Linked DNA regions of Canis lupus familiaris. The protein of the gene in region 1 purifies or fractionates together with the protein of each later gene. This does not show direct contact. Links are inferred from orthologs where the notes say so. Each region holds a gene or a part of one and is shown in the gene's direction. Other genes may lie near its edges. The genes, in order: MAVS, TRIM25 and PLAAT4.

Region 1 (3,745 bases):
ATCTTTTATTTATTTATTTTTTAAGATTCTATTCATTTATTTGACAGAGAGAGAGCACAAGCAGGGGGAGCAGCAGAGTGAGAGAGAGAAGCAAGCTCTCTGATGAGGAGGGAGCCAGATGCGGGTTTGACCCTAGGACCCTGAGATCATGACCCCAGCCAAAGGCAGACCCTCAACTGACTGAGCCACCCAGACACCCCTGAATCTTTTAATATTTCTTAAAACCAGGAAAAATAAACCTCTACCTGGTGATTGTCTGAGTATTTAGTGGCTTCTAAGGTATAAGACTTTAAGCCTGTACCTGGAACACAGTGGGAGGCTCAGTAATTGCTGGCCTCAGCCCCAAACAGAGGAAGGGCCAGGCAGCTGGCAGGCGCTGTGGGGAGGTACCTGGTCCAGACCCTTGGGCAGAGAAGCCTTTCCCACACAGCACTCAAGACCCACAGCCAGCAGTCTGGGCAGCCCGAACTTGGCGCCCCTGCCCTGCTCTCACCTACCCAGCCTCCTCGCACTGTGATCCTGCTTCCTCAGGCCCAGCATTGGTGTCGCTTCCTGTGCACTTTGCGTATCACTCGATATTTATTGGGCACTAACTTTATGCCAGGCCCTGGGTGCCCCGGTACAAATGCCATAAAGACCCTCCCCCCTCAAATTACTCAGGAGGAGTGATTGCTTGGCGTAGGAAGCATGGGGACCCAGCCGAGCACTGACTCCGAGGTCGGTCAGCCACTTGAGTTCTAGCCAGATTCTGTATTTCCCCTGGAAGTTTGTTCTGGACAAACAAAATAATCTGATCCTCTGCGCCCCAGCAGGAGCCTAGGTCTGCCCGGAGCGCCTGTCCCGCGGGTCCAGGCCCTCGAACCACTGCCAAGCGCCCACCCCCGCGGCCCAGTGGCTCAGGCTGGCCGCCACGCCCCGCCCCCGCCGCCTGGCCAATGGCCTCGCGGTCCCGCCCCTCTCTGCCGCGCCCCCTCCTGCAGGGGAGGGTTCCGGGGTGTCTGCGGAGGTCCGCGGGTAGCCGGGTAGTGGCTACCGAGGTAAGTTAGCCGTCCCGGGCGCGGTCGGTCCCCTGGGCTCTGGGCGCGCCGATGGCTTTCGGAGCGGTGGTCAGCGGAGGCAAGAGCGGAGCGGGACGCGGAGCCCACCGGGGCGCACGGGGGTCCGGGGACGGGACTGGCTGCGCGGGGCTGGGTTAGAGCCGGTCCCGAGGCGCCGCGCTTCGCGGCAGCGCCGGGCGGGGCGGGGGGGCGTGGGTCGTGTGCTCGGGCGGGAGGGGAGGTTGGGGGAGCAGACAGGCGCTGGCTGCTGAGTGCCTCCAGCGCCCCGCAGGCCGGGGGTGACCCTGGGGCGAGGCCTAACCTCCCGGAGCTGCGGCCGCGCCTAGAGGCCGCCGTCCTCCCCCGGGCCTTGACAGTTCTCGGTGGTGACATCTGACCAGAACAGCCTCCCTCCCTCCCTCCGCGGGCCTGGTTCCTTCCAGGAATTGGAGCCAAATCAGTGAGGCCTCGCCTCTCTCCTCCGGGTGGTTATTTCTTTCCGGGACGCACTCAGCGCGTCCGGGGCATTCAAGGTAGGAACTTCTCGCAGCGTCAGTCCGCCCTTCTCTGAGACCGGAAGGAGCTGCTAGGAAAACATTGGGGGAAAAAAAAACACAACCAAAAAACGACGTTCTGTGCACGCTGTGGAGCCTTAAAAACTTCTGGAAGGACAGTCAGCGATCTGAGAACTGCGACTGCCGAACAGGGCAGGTTAGCATGCAGTCAGCCTTGTCTGAATGATTTACATACTATTCCTACAAGAGAAGGGACTACGTCTTTCAGCCTCCCTGGCACACCCCCATCTGAGGACTCCCCTCACCCAGGCAGTGGCCTTGGTCCCTCTGGGGCTGTGAGTCTCACTTGTTGCAGCAGCCCCTATGTTCTGTAAGGTGTATGGTGAACTGCAATGAGACAGCAAGTCCTGGGTTCAAATCCTGTTAGGGCCACTGGTCTGTTTGTACAACCCAGCATCATTTCTCCTCTCCTAAAGGAAAGAAAATTAGAATGTGCCTGCCTATAGTAGATCATGAATAAATATGAACAAATATGGGCTTCCTTCCTTTTTGGTTGGAGCATGTTCTACTTCCATACCCCCCAAACTCTTGTCCTTAGGGCTGCGGCTCAGATGCAGAAGAATGTATCACCTGACTCTATCCTTGTCCCTCCCCACATGCCATGGAAAGAAAGGAGAAAAGCGTCATTTAGCCACCTTAGAGTTCTTTGCTCATCTCCTGAACGCTCAGAGGACCCCTGCCCCATCTTCTTGAACCTCTTGACTTCTGTCATTGACACTTGCCACACCAATAATGTAGCACCTGGTGGCTGACAGAGCAAGGCATGCCACATGAGGCTATGAGGCCAGCAGACAGGACTACTGCCCCATTTCCCATATGGGTGACAGACTGGTGGCCCCAGCTCTGCTCTGCAACATTATCTTCTAGAGTCCCACCCAAGCCACACACCCACATTTTTGCTCCAGTCTGGCTCCTCTTCTGACCCCTTTCTTCCCAGAAAACCCACTTGGACATGTCATAGTGTCTCAGACTTGAGACACTATGATCACCTGATCAAAATGGAGCTTTGGAATCCTCTCTGCACCACAGCTTCTCCACCAGGTTCTCTGGCCTGCCTAAATGGCACCATCCATCTACCTAGTGCCTGAGGAGTTATCCTTGATTCTTCTCTCTCCCTCACTTCCCACATCCAGGACCCACTAGGAATCCAGCCACCTCTCACCATCTCCATGGGCAGCATTCTGGCCATACCCATCCTGTGGCCCCCTGCTTCAGCCTCCCAATTGTCTCCCTGCTTCCATCCTGGCCTCTGTACAATCCAGGTCCTCACAACTACCAGAGAGGTCTTTAACATAAGTCAGATCCTCTCCCTTCTCTGCTCAGAACCCCCAGTGGCTTCCCATTTCACTCCAAGAAACCCCCCAAAGCAAAAATAACAACCCCCAGAGTCCTTTCCTGCAACACTGCACATGAGCCACCACTTTTCAGAACCTCCTTGACCTTGATCCCTTCCCCTCCCCTTAGCTTTCTAAACCTGGACCACCCAGACCTGCTTTCTGTTCTTCAAACATGCCAAGGTCATTTCCACCTTAGGACTTTTAAATTGCTGTGCCCTCCGCCCAAAATGCTGATCTTGCAGCTCAGAATGGCTCAGCTCAAATGTCACCAATTCAGAAAGACTTACCTGACCACCTCTGTTCATGCAGCACGTCCTTCTCCAGGGATTCTGTCTCAAAACCCTGGTTTATTTTCTTCATAACTTGGTTACTATTTGGAATTCTTATTTATGTACGTGTTTACTGATTTGTTATCTGTCCCACCCCAATAGAATATAAATTGGATGATGGCAGAGATCTTGTCCCTCTTATTCCCTGCAGCTCTCCCTGAGGGGGAGGCAGGTAAGGAACTCACAGACAACCCCATCTATAATTGCAAATTGTGGTAAGTCCTACCTAAGCAAGTAGTAGCAATTGCTAGTAATTGAGGCACTTGTAAATGTCAGGCTTATGCAGTTGAGCTACTGTATTGTCAAAACAAGCCCTCTGAGTCATTTTAGGGGTAAAGAGAAGACTGTAGAAAGCCGGTAATTTGCCCTAGATCATACGGTGAGTGGAACTAGCCTCCTATCCTAAGAACATGTATGTGGCAAGCTTTAATGGTGGGCTTGCGGTCATGTTCTGGAAAGGACCTGAC
Region 2 (3,745 bases), on another chromosome or scaffold:
AAAAAACAAAATACAACTGCATGTTCTGTCGGTTGGTATGGAAAGAAATCGCTAGCTTTAAGCATGAGTGCCTGGGGTCGGCCTTCAGGGACCTATCCTTAGCTGCTGTGCCACAGTCCCACCGACCAGCGGGGAGGAAACGAGTCTATTTTATGTATTTGTTTATTAAAGGTTTTTTTTTTCTTTTCTTTTTAAAGATTATTTATTTATTTATTCATAGAGACACAGGCAGAGGGAGAAGCAGGCTCCATGCAGGGAGCCCGACGCAGGACCCGATCCAGGGTCTCCAGGATCACGCCCTGAGCTGCAGGCGGCGCTAAACCGCTGCGCCACCGGGGCTGCCCTTTTTTTTTTTTCTTTTTAAAAATATTTTTATTTTTATGATTTATGCATGAGAGACCCAGAGGCAGAGACATAGGCAGAGAGAGAAGCAGGCTCCCTGCCAGGCCCGATGGGGCACTCGATGCCAGGACCCCGGGGATCACGACCTGAGCCACCCAAGAGCCCCAGGGAGTTAGAGAGGGAGGGATGGGCAGCCCGGGTGGCGCAGCGGTTCAGCGCCGCCTGCAGCCCGGGGCGTGATCCTGGAGACCGGGATCGAGCCCCACGTCGGGCTCCCTGCATGGAGCCTGCTTCTCCGTCGGCCTGTGTGTCTCATGAATAAATACATAGAGTCGGGAGGGAGAGGGGCACCCTCCCTGCCCGGCCTCGGGCGCTAGCCCAGTGCGGAGACAGCCTGGCCCGGGGCCCCCAGCGGGAGCGCAGCTCGGGGAGCTCTGCAGGGCGGCTCAGGCTGCGCCCCGGGGCGCCTCGCGTGCAGGGCAGGCCCGCTCGGCTGCTGGGGGCGGGGGGGGGCGGGGGCGGCCTCGGGTAGAGACCGCCGCGGGGGGGCGCCCCAGACCCGGAGCCCGACGGCCGCGCCAGGCGCCCCGGGACCCCCGCCCCGCCCCGCCCCGCCCCGCCCCGCGTGACTTCCTGGAGCGCCGCGGGCCCGCCCTGCCGCTCGCTGGTTTCGTTTCCTCGGCCTGGGGGGTGGGGCGCCAGTGTCGCCCCGAGCCCGCGCGTCCCAGCGCGTCCCGTCCGGCCGCCGAGCGCCATGGCCGAGCTGGTCCCCCTGGCCGAGGAGCTGTCGTGCTCCGTCTGCCTGGAGCCCTTCAAGGGGCCGGTCACCACCCCGTGCGGCCACAACTTCTGCGGCGCGTGCCTGGACGAGACGTGGGCTGTCCAGGGCCCGCCGTACCTGTGCCCGCAGTGTCGCGCCGTCTACCAGGCGCGGCCGCAGCTGCACAAGAACACGGTGCTGTGCGCCGTGGTGGAGCAGCTCCTGCAGGCGGGCGCGGCGCCCCAGCCCCCCGACGGCGGGACGCCCGCGGCCCCGGCCAAGACCGGCCCGGTGGCCTGCGACCACTGCCTGAAGGCGCCCGCCGTCAAGACGTGCATGGTGTGCATGGCCTCCTTCTGCCAGGAGCACCTGCAGCCGCACCTCGACAGCCCCGCCTTCCAGGACCACCAGCTGCAGCCGCCCGTCAAGGACCTGCTGCGCCGCAAGTGCGCTGAGCACAACCGGCTGCGGGACTTCTTCTGCCCCCAGCATGACGAGTGCATCTGCTACATCTGCCTGATAGAGCACAAGGCCTGCTCGCCTGCGTCCCTGAGCCAGGCCAGCGCCGACCTGGAGGTGCGGGGGGCGGGGGGGTTGCGGGGGGGGGGCGCGGGAGGGCACAGGGAGGCCGCCTGGGGCCCGCGGGGCTGGCGGGGCCGAGGGAGCCACCGTGCACGCATCGCCTCGAGGCCCAGCGCGGGCCACCTGGGGTGGGAGGATGGGCCTTGCTGGGCCTGACCACCCAGGCGGGGCAAGGAGAACATACAGGCCTCCTCCGTCGTCGTCCGTGGTCCACCCTCCGCGGGCCCCTGCTGCACAGAGGGGACCGCGGAAGACAGCTGATGTGGCTTGCCTTAAGCCTACTCCTTGGCTGACGGCGTTTAGTAGAGGGTTTCCAATATCAAATAGGAGCCCTGGAGGTTACCTCGGGAGATCTTGGCAGCATCCAAGAGGTGGATCTAATTGGGTTCATCCTGCAGTTGAGGAAACGGAAGATCCAGAGAGGTTCATTTAGCCTAAACTAACCCTGTGAGTGGTGGAGCAGGCATTGGGACCCCTCCCTGGTTCGACTCTAGAGTTTGCCACTTTTCCCCATGACCAGCCCAATACCCGAGTTTGGGACATTCCTGGAGCATGGGACATTCCTGGAGGCTTGAGATCATGTGAACCAAAAAGCTTCGGTAGGCAGAGAGTTCTTTTTTTTTTTTTTAGTCACACACACAGAGAAAGAGGCAGAGACATAGGCAGAGGGAGAAGCAGGCTCCATGCACTGGGAGCCCCACCTGGGATTCGATCCCAGGTGTCCAGGATCACGCCCTGGGCCAAAGGCAGGTGCCAAACCGCTGTGCCACCCAGGGATCCCCAAGAGTTCTAGTGACCAGGTAGGATCATGATGAGCAGAACCGTGGGCAAATGCCAGATCTCTCTGGAGACCCCCACAGGCAGCGCCAGACTCTTGCACCACAGTACCCTCCAGCCTGGCTGTGAGACTTTACGAGCACACTGTTGGTCCCCGGGGCCTGAGTGCTCATCAGTAAATTGAGGAGGTGGGACCAGGTGGCTCCTAAAGGAGCCTTCCAGGTCTGTGATGGTTTTAGTGGTTTGGGGTAAATCATAATTTCCCCTTATGGACTCAAGGCAGGGGCTGACAAGGTGTAATCGGACCACCTTTTTTATATCAGCATGAGCTCCACAGCATAGCCTGATTGCCTTTAAGTCTCTCGGCCCTGTCATGGAGAACAAGGACTGTCCTGTTGTTGAAGGAGATAGGAGGCCTGGCAGAGGTTTGGGGCGGGTGGGGGGGGGAGGGAGGGGCAGGCGCCAGGACCAGGAGCCAGGTCTTGTTCCTGTGCAACCATAGCCATTCCTGGGCCTGGTCTGCTTCTCTGTCTGAGCTGGGGCCCTCAGAACTTCTTCCCTGAGTCTCAAAGACCAGACCTCAAGACATGGCCTGAGAGTTGACCTCTGAGGCATGACCAGGTCAGGCATGGCCACCTGGGTCTCCACCGGCTGCCTTAAAGAACCTGTATCACTTTTCAAGCCAGGAGCTGCATTCTGCCCCATATCAACTATGGTTTGGGGCAAGTCACGGCAATTTTCTGAGCCTCAGCTTCCTCATCTGTAAAATGGGATAGTAGCCTTCCCTCCCAATCTGCGAGGGCGGTCAGGAGGCTCTGGAGCTGTGTGGAAAGTGCTTTGTAGGCAGGCCCCCATGACAGGCAGGTGGCTGGTTGACCTGGGCTCTGACCTGGGCTTGGTGTTGACGCCTGGGTTTCAATTCTGACTGCTTCCTCGCTGGGCGAGTACTGCCTAAGTGCTGCAGGTGTACTTTCTGTGCAGCTGGGGTGGAAGAGAACTTGCTGGGGGGGGGGGGCAGGTATCAGGCTGCCCATTTCTTCTTTGCCTCAGGGTGCATGGGCCTATCCTTGAGGACCCATGACGGCTCCTGCCAAAAGGCTCTTCTAGAAGTTCTTATCCATGAAGTCAGAAGGCAAGTAGGGTCAGGAGGGTTCTTCTCAGCCTGGCCTGGAGCTACAGCTCTCTCTCAGCCTCTGGGGCCTGCATCCGTACGTGCTTGGCTTTGTAATCCTTGTATCAGGCCTGGCCTTGCTACCTCCCCAGGCCTCACCATTGTCCTGGCTT
Region 3 (3,745 bases), on another chromosome or scaffold:
GTGGCCCTGTCCTTAGGTTTCATAGGAATCCTCAATTAAGGCAGAACACATTGCACAAACAAACTAATGATCATATTCTTGCACATCACCCCATAAGCACATGATAAGCTAGTAATCAATTCTGCTTAAAATTTCTCAGGAGGGCAGCCCCAGTGGCTCAGCGGTTTAGTGCCACCTTCAGTCCAGAGCGTAATCCTAAAGATCCGGGATCGAGTCCCATGTCGGGCTCCCTGCATGGAGCCTGCTCCTCCCTCTCCTTGGCGTCTCTGGCTGTCTGTGTGTGTGTGTGTGTGTGTCTCTCATTAATAAATAAAATCTTTAAAAAAAAATCTCTCAGGAAACTTGAAGAACCTGACGCTCGATCACTGAAGACATGTGGTGGATTACTCTAGCCCTCGTGGCACTGTAGCTGGTTTCTTTTTTCATTCCTGTTCCCCTTTAAAAGCCCTTCCTGCAGGGAGATGGGACAGTGGTGTTTTAGGACATGAGTCCACCGTCTTCTCAGTGAGCGGGCTTTCTCGAATAAAATCGCTTTCCTTGTCCCAACTCTTTGTCTCCCTCATCATATTGGCCTGTCGTGCAACGAGCGGGTGGGACCCAGGTTCAATCACAAGCCACAGCAATTCTATGTTTTGAGGTAGGTAATCACAGACCTTCCATTTAGAGTGACTGTTCAGTCTCCCTTTAAAAACTGTTTCTCGGGATCCCTGGGTGGCTCATCGGTTTAGTGCCTGCTTTTGGGCCAGGGCGTGATCCTGGAGTCCTGGAATCGGGTCCCACGTCGGGCTCCCTGCATGGAGCCTGCTTCTCCCTCTGCCTGTGTCTCTGCCTCTCTCTCTGTCTCTCATGAGTAAATAAATAAAAAATCTTTAAAAACAAACAAACAAACAAAACTGTTTCTGTGGTGCCTGGGTGGCTCAGTTGGTTAAGCATCTGAGTGTTGGCCTCAGATCAGGTCTTGGTCTCAGGATCCTGAGTTTGAGCCTGGTGCTGGGCTCCACCCTGGGCCTAATGCTTACTTTACTAAGAAAAGTAGCTTTACATAGCATCGAAAAGGAAAGTGAAAGCAAAACTTTCAACTTCAATAAAAGTTGGTGCACAAGCAGCACACAGCAGACAGCACCATGACTGAGGTAAGTGTCCCTGACTTTCTACCTAGGGCTCTCCAGGGGTGGGGGGGCCCCTTCCTATAAAGGCCTCAGTCTGGGTTCCTGGCCTTGGGCACAGTTAACTCCAAAGTTTGGAAAAGCTTCAGAAGGAGGTTCTGGAAGACTCTTTGTAGTTTAAAAGTCCCTCTTTAAAAGCCCCTGCTGGGCTGTGAGGGCTTTGGGTCCAGGGAGCCTCCTCGCTCCATCTGGCTCAGCCGGGGCCCAAGGGCCTCCGGGGGTAGGAGCTGTGGTGGCAGGGGGCTCTGTCTCCTGAGCTGGGAAGCATCTGGGGCGTGGGTGAAGGGCGGGGGGTCCCAGGACTTGGGAGGTGAGTGGATCCCCGCTGGGCCTGGCTCCCTGGCTCCAGATGGACTTCGGCGCCTGCTCAGCTCTGTCCTCCTCTCCCTCTTGCTCCATGGCACTTGGCCTGCCCTGTGAAGTCGGCTTGAATTTCAGCTTTCTGACGCGGACTCCCTTCCTGACCTCTATGGTGTCCAGATTCCCACACAGCCCAGGCAGGCCTAGGCAGGGCTCGGTGGCGGGCGTACAGCTGAAGGGGAACAAGTAGAATTCAGGCAATTCAGGGCAATGAGATCATTCCAGAAGGAGCGGCCTTTGTTGCCTGGGCAACCATCTCCTTATCCAGGCACGGCCCAAGTTCACATTGGATCTGCTGGCAGCTCCTATGCGCGTGGTGTCTGGGCTTGACCTTATCACAGGTGGAATCCAGAGTGCAAAACCCCCTTTTGATTCCAGCGTGGAGGCCACCCTTGGACCAGCCGTGCCCTGGCTGAGAGAGGGGAGGCCCTGGCCCTGGGTCCCAGCCCTGCTGGTCCTCCAGCCTCTCTTCCATGGAGATTCCCTTGGCCCCCATTCTAGGCCAGGCCCTCACTGGTTCCCAGAGAGGAAGGAGGCAAGGGGCACCACACAGGATCCCGCCCCACTGGAGCTCCAAACCCAGAAGAGGTGCAGGCAGGCAGGGAAAGTCCCGGCACAACATGATCTGTGCAGAGGGGGTGGCTGCCCCAGGACCTGGGGACCCAGAGAGGGCAGCTGAGCCAGGCGGGCCTGATGGCAGCTTCTCAGAGAGGACTTTCTGGTGTGGATGAGAAGAGGAAGGGAGCGGGTGGGGAAGGGGACTGGGGGCAGAGACAGCCAGGTGTGCAGGGGAGCAGAGGCAGGAGCCAGCTGTGTGGTGAGAAGGGCAAGCCTGGCAGCCTGTGGAGCAGAGGGCAGGGAGGGTGAGGAGGGCCTGTGAGTGGCCCACAGAGCAGGCCCCATGCCCTGAGGCCAGATGTGCTCTGTGGGAAAGCCACGGTGGGTCCTGGGGAGACCAGATGTGGGGGAGAAGGGACAGGAGGCCAGGATAGGAGTGGGGCCTATGGTCAAGAGGCCTTAGGGTCAGGACACCTTGCTGGCTAAGTCAGAAAAACATGTGACCCTTGATCTCAGGGTCATGAGTTCAAGCCTCACATTGGGTATGGAGATTACTAGAATAAAGTAAAAAAAAAAAAAAAAAAAAAACACAGGAAAAAGAGGGTGAGGGTCTCAGAGACAGGGTTGGGGGCTGCCCTGAAACGAATCACAGTGTGAGAGATGTTTGAGGAGGAGAATTAAGGAGAAACTCCTGGATTCTACATTGGTGGATGGATATTGGCACAAAGAAGAGGGCCGGGGTACACAGGCCCCAGGTCTCCCATGAGGTGGCCTGCAATCAGAGATAGAGGGTTGTGGGCTGAGAGCTGGCTCAGAAAGGGAAGAAATTGAAACATTCTCAAAGCAGAAGCCATGGCAGCCTGGGGGGGAGGGCACAAGCCCTCCATGTGCGTGCTGTGACCGTCCCCATGGGTCCAGATGCTAGCTGGCCCCACAGAGTCTCAGGTTTCCTTAGGATGCTGTCAGCTCCTGCCTCTCAGGTTGCCATCTCCGAGGGTGGGTGTCTTGAGGCTGGCGGGGACAGAGTCCAGGGAGGAACAGGTGCCTGTGTGGCCATGGACAACCAGGGCCAAGAGGTGGGATGAGGACCTGAATGTCAGTCTGAGAAGAGGAGAGAAGGTGGTGACTCCCCTGCCCGACTGCTGACGATGGGTTCGGGGCTCCCAATCTCAGTGAAGGGGTTTTCATGCAGGGAGTCACGTCAACACTCTCAGGAGCAGCCGTGCAATGAACCTGAACGTGCACATTCACATCCTCCTCGGTGTGCCTATGAGTATCCACAACACGCACACACACACACACACAGACACACACACACACAATATGCAACACACACAGATATGCATGTAATCAGAACACAACACACATAGAACACACATGCACAACACGTACATATATATTCATGTGTGCTACTGCACTGCAGCCCATACCACATGTACACAAGCACATACATACATGATAATGTGGGCACACTGAACAAATCCCCACTCTCCTATTCCACAAGGTCCTTTTATCCAGACTTCAGCCCCCAGTTTGGGGAAGCTCTAAAAGTGACAGAAGGCTGAGGACCTCACAGAGGCCAGGAGTTCCCTCCCACTCCAGGCTCTCATCAGGTGATGAACATCAGCAAGGGGGTCCCCAGGCCAAGCTGCAGGGTCCCA

The links.
Region 2: the proteins of MAVS (region 1) and TRIM25 purify together in Homo sapiens (affinity purification with western blotting; 3 studies listed by BioGRID and IntAct, with this or other methods). This does not show direct contact. The link is inferred for Canis lupus familiaris from reciprocal best matches to the Homo sapiens genes MAVS and TRIM25.
Region 3: the proteins of MAVS (region 1) and PLAAT4 purify together in Homo sapiens (affinity purification with western blotting; 4 studies listed by BioGRID). This does not show direct contact. The link is inferred for Canis lupus familiaris from reciprocal best matches to the Homo sapiens genes MAVS and PLAAT4.

Annotation. Positions count from the first base shown.
Region 1 is NC_049245.1:17,973,670-17,977,414, reverse strand, and holds the start of MAVS (mitochondrial antiviral-signaling protein), read left to right. Parts: upstream 1-1,018; 5' UTR 1,019-1,037; intron 1,038-3,745.
Region 2 is NC_049230.1:31,683,409-31,687,153, reverse strand, and holds the start of TRIM25 (E3 ubiquitin/ISG15 ligase TRIM25), read left to right. Parts: upstream 1-1,022; 5' UTR 1,023-1,096; coding exon 1,097-1,678; intron 1,679-3,745.
Region 3 is NC_049239.1:53,930,914-53,934,658, reverse strand, and holds the start of PLAAT4 (phospholipase A and acyltransferase 4), read left to right. Parts: upstream 1-1,014; 5' UTR 1,015-1,124; coding exon 1,125-1,133; intron 1,134-3,745. UniProt on the Homo sapiens protein: Exhibits both phospholipase A1/2 and acyltransferase activities. Shows phospholipase A1 (PLA1) and A2 (PLA2), catalyzing the calcium-independent release of fatty acids from the sn-1 or sn-2 position of glycerophospholipids.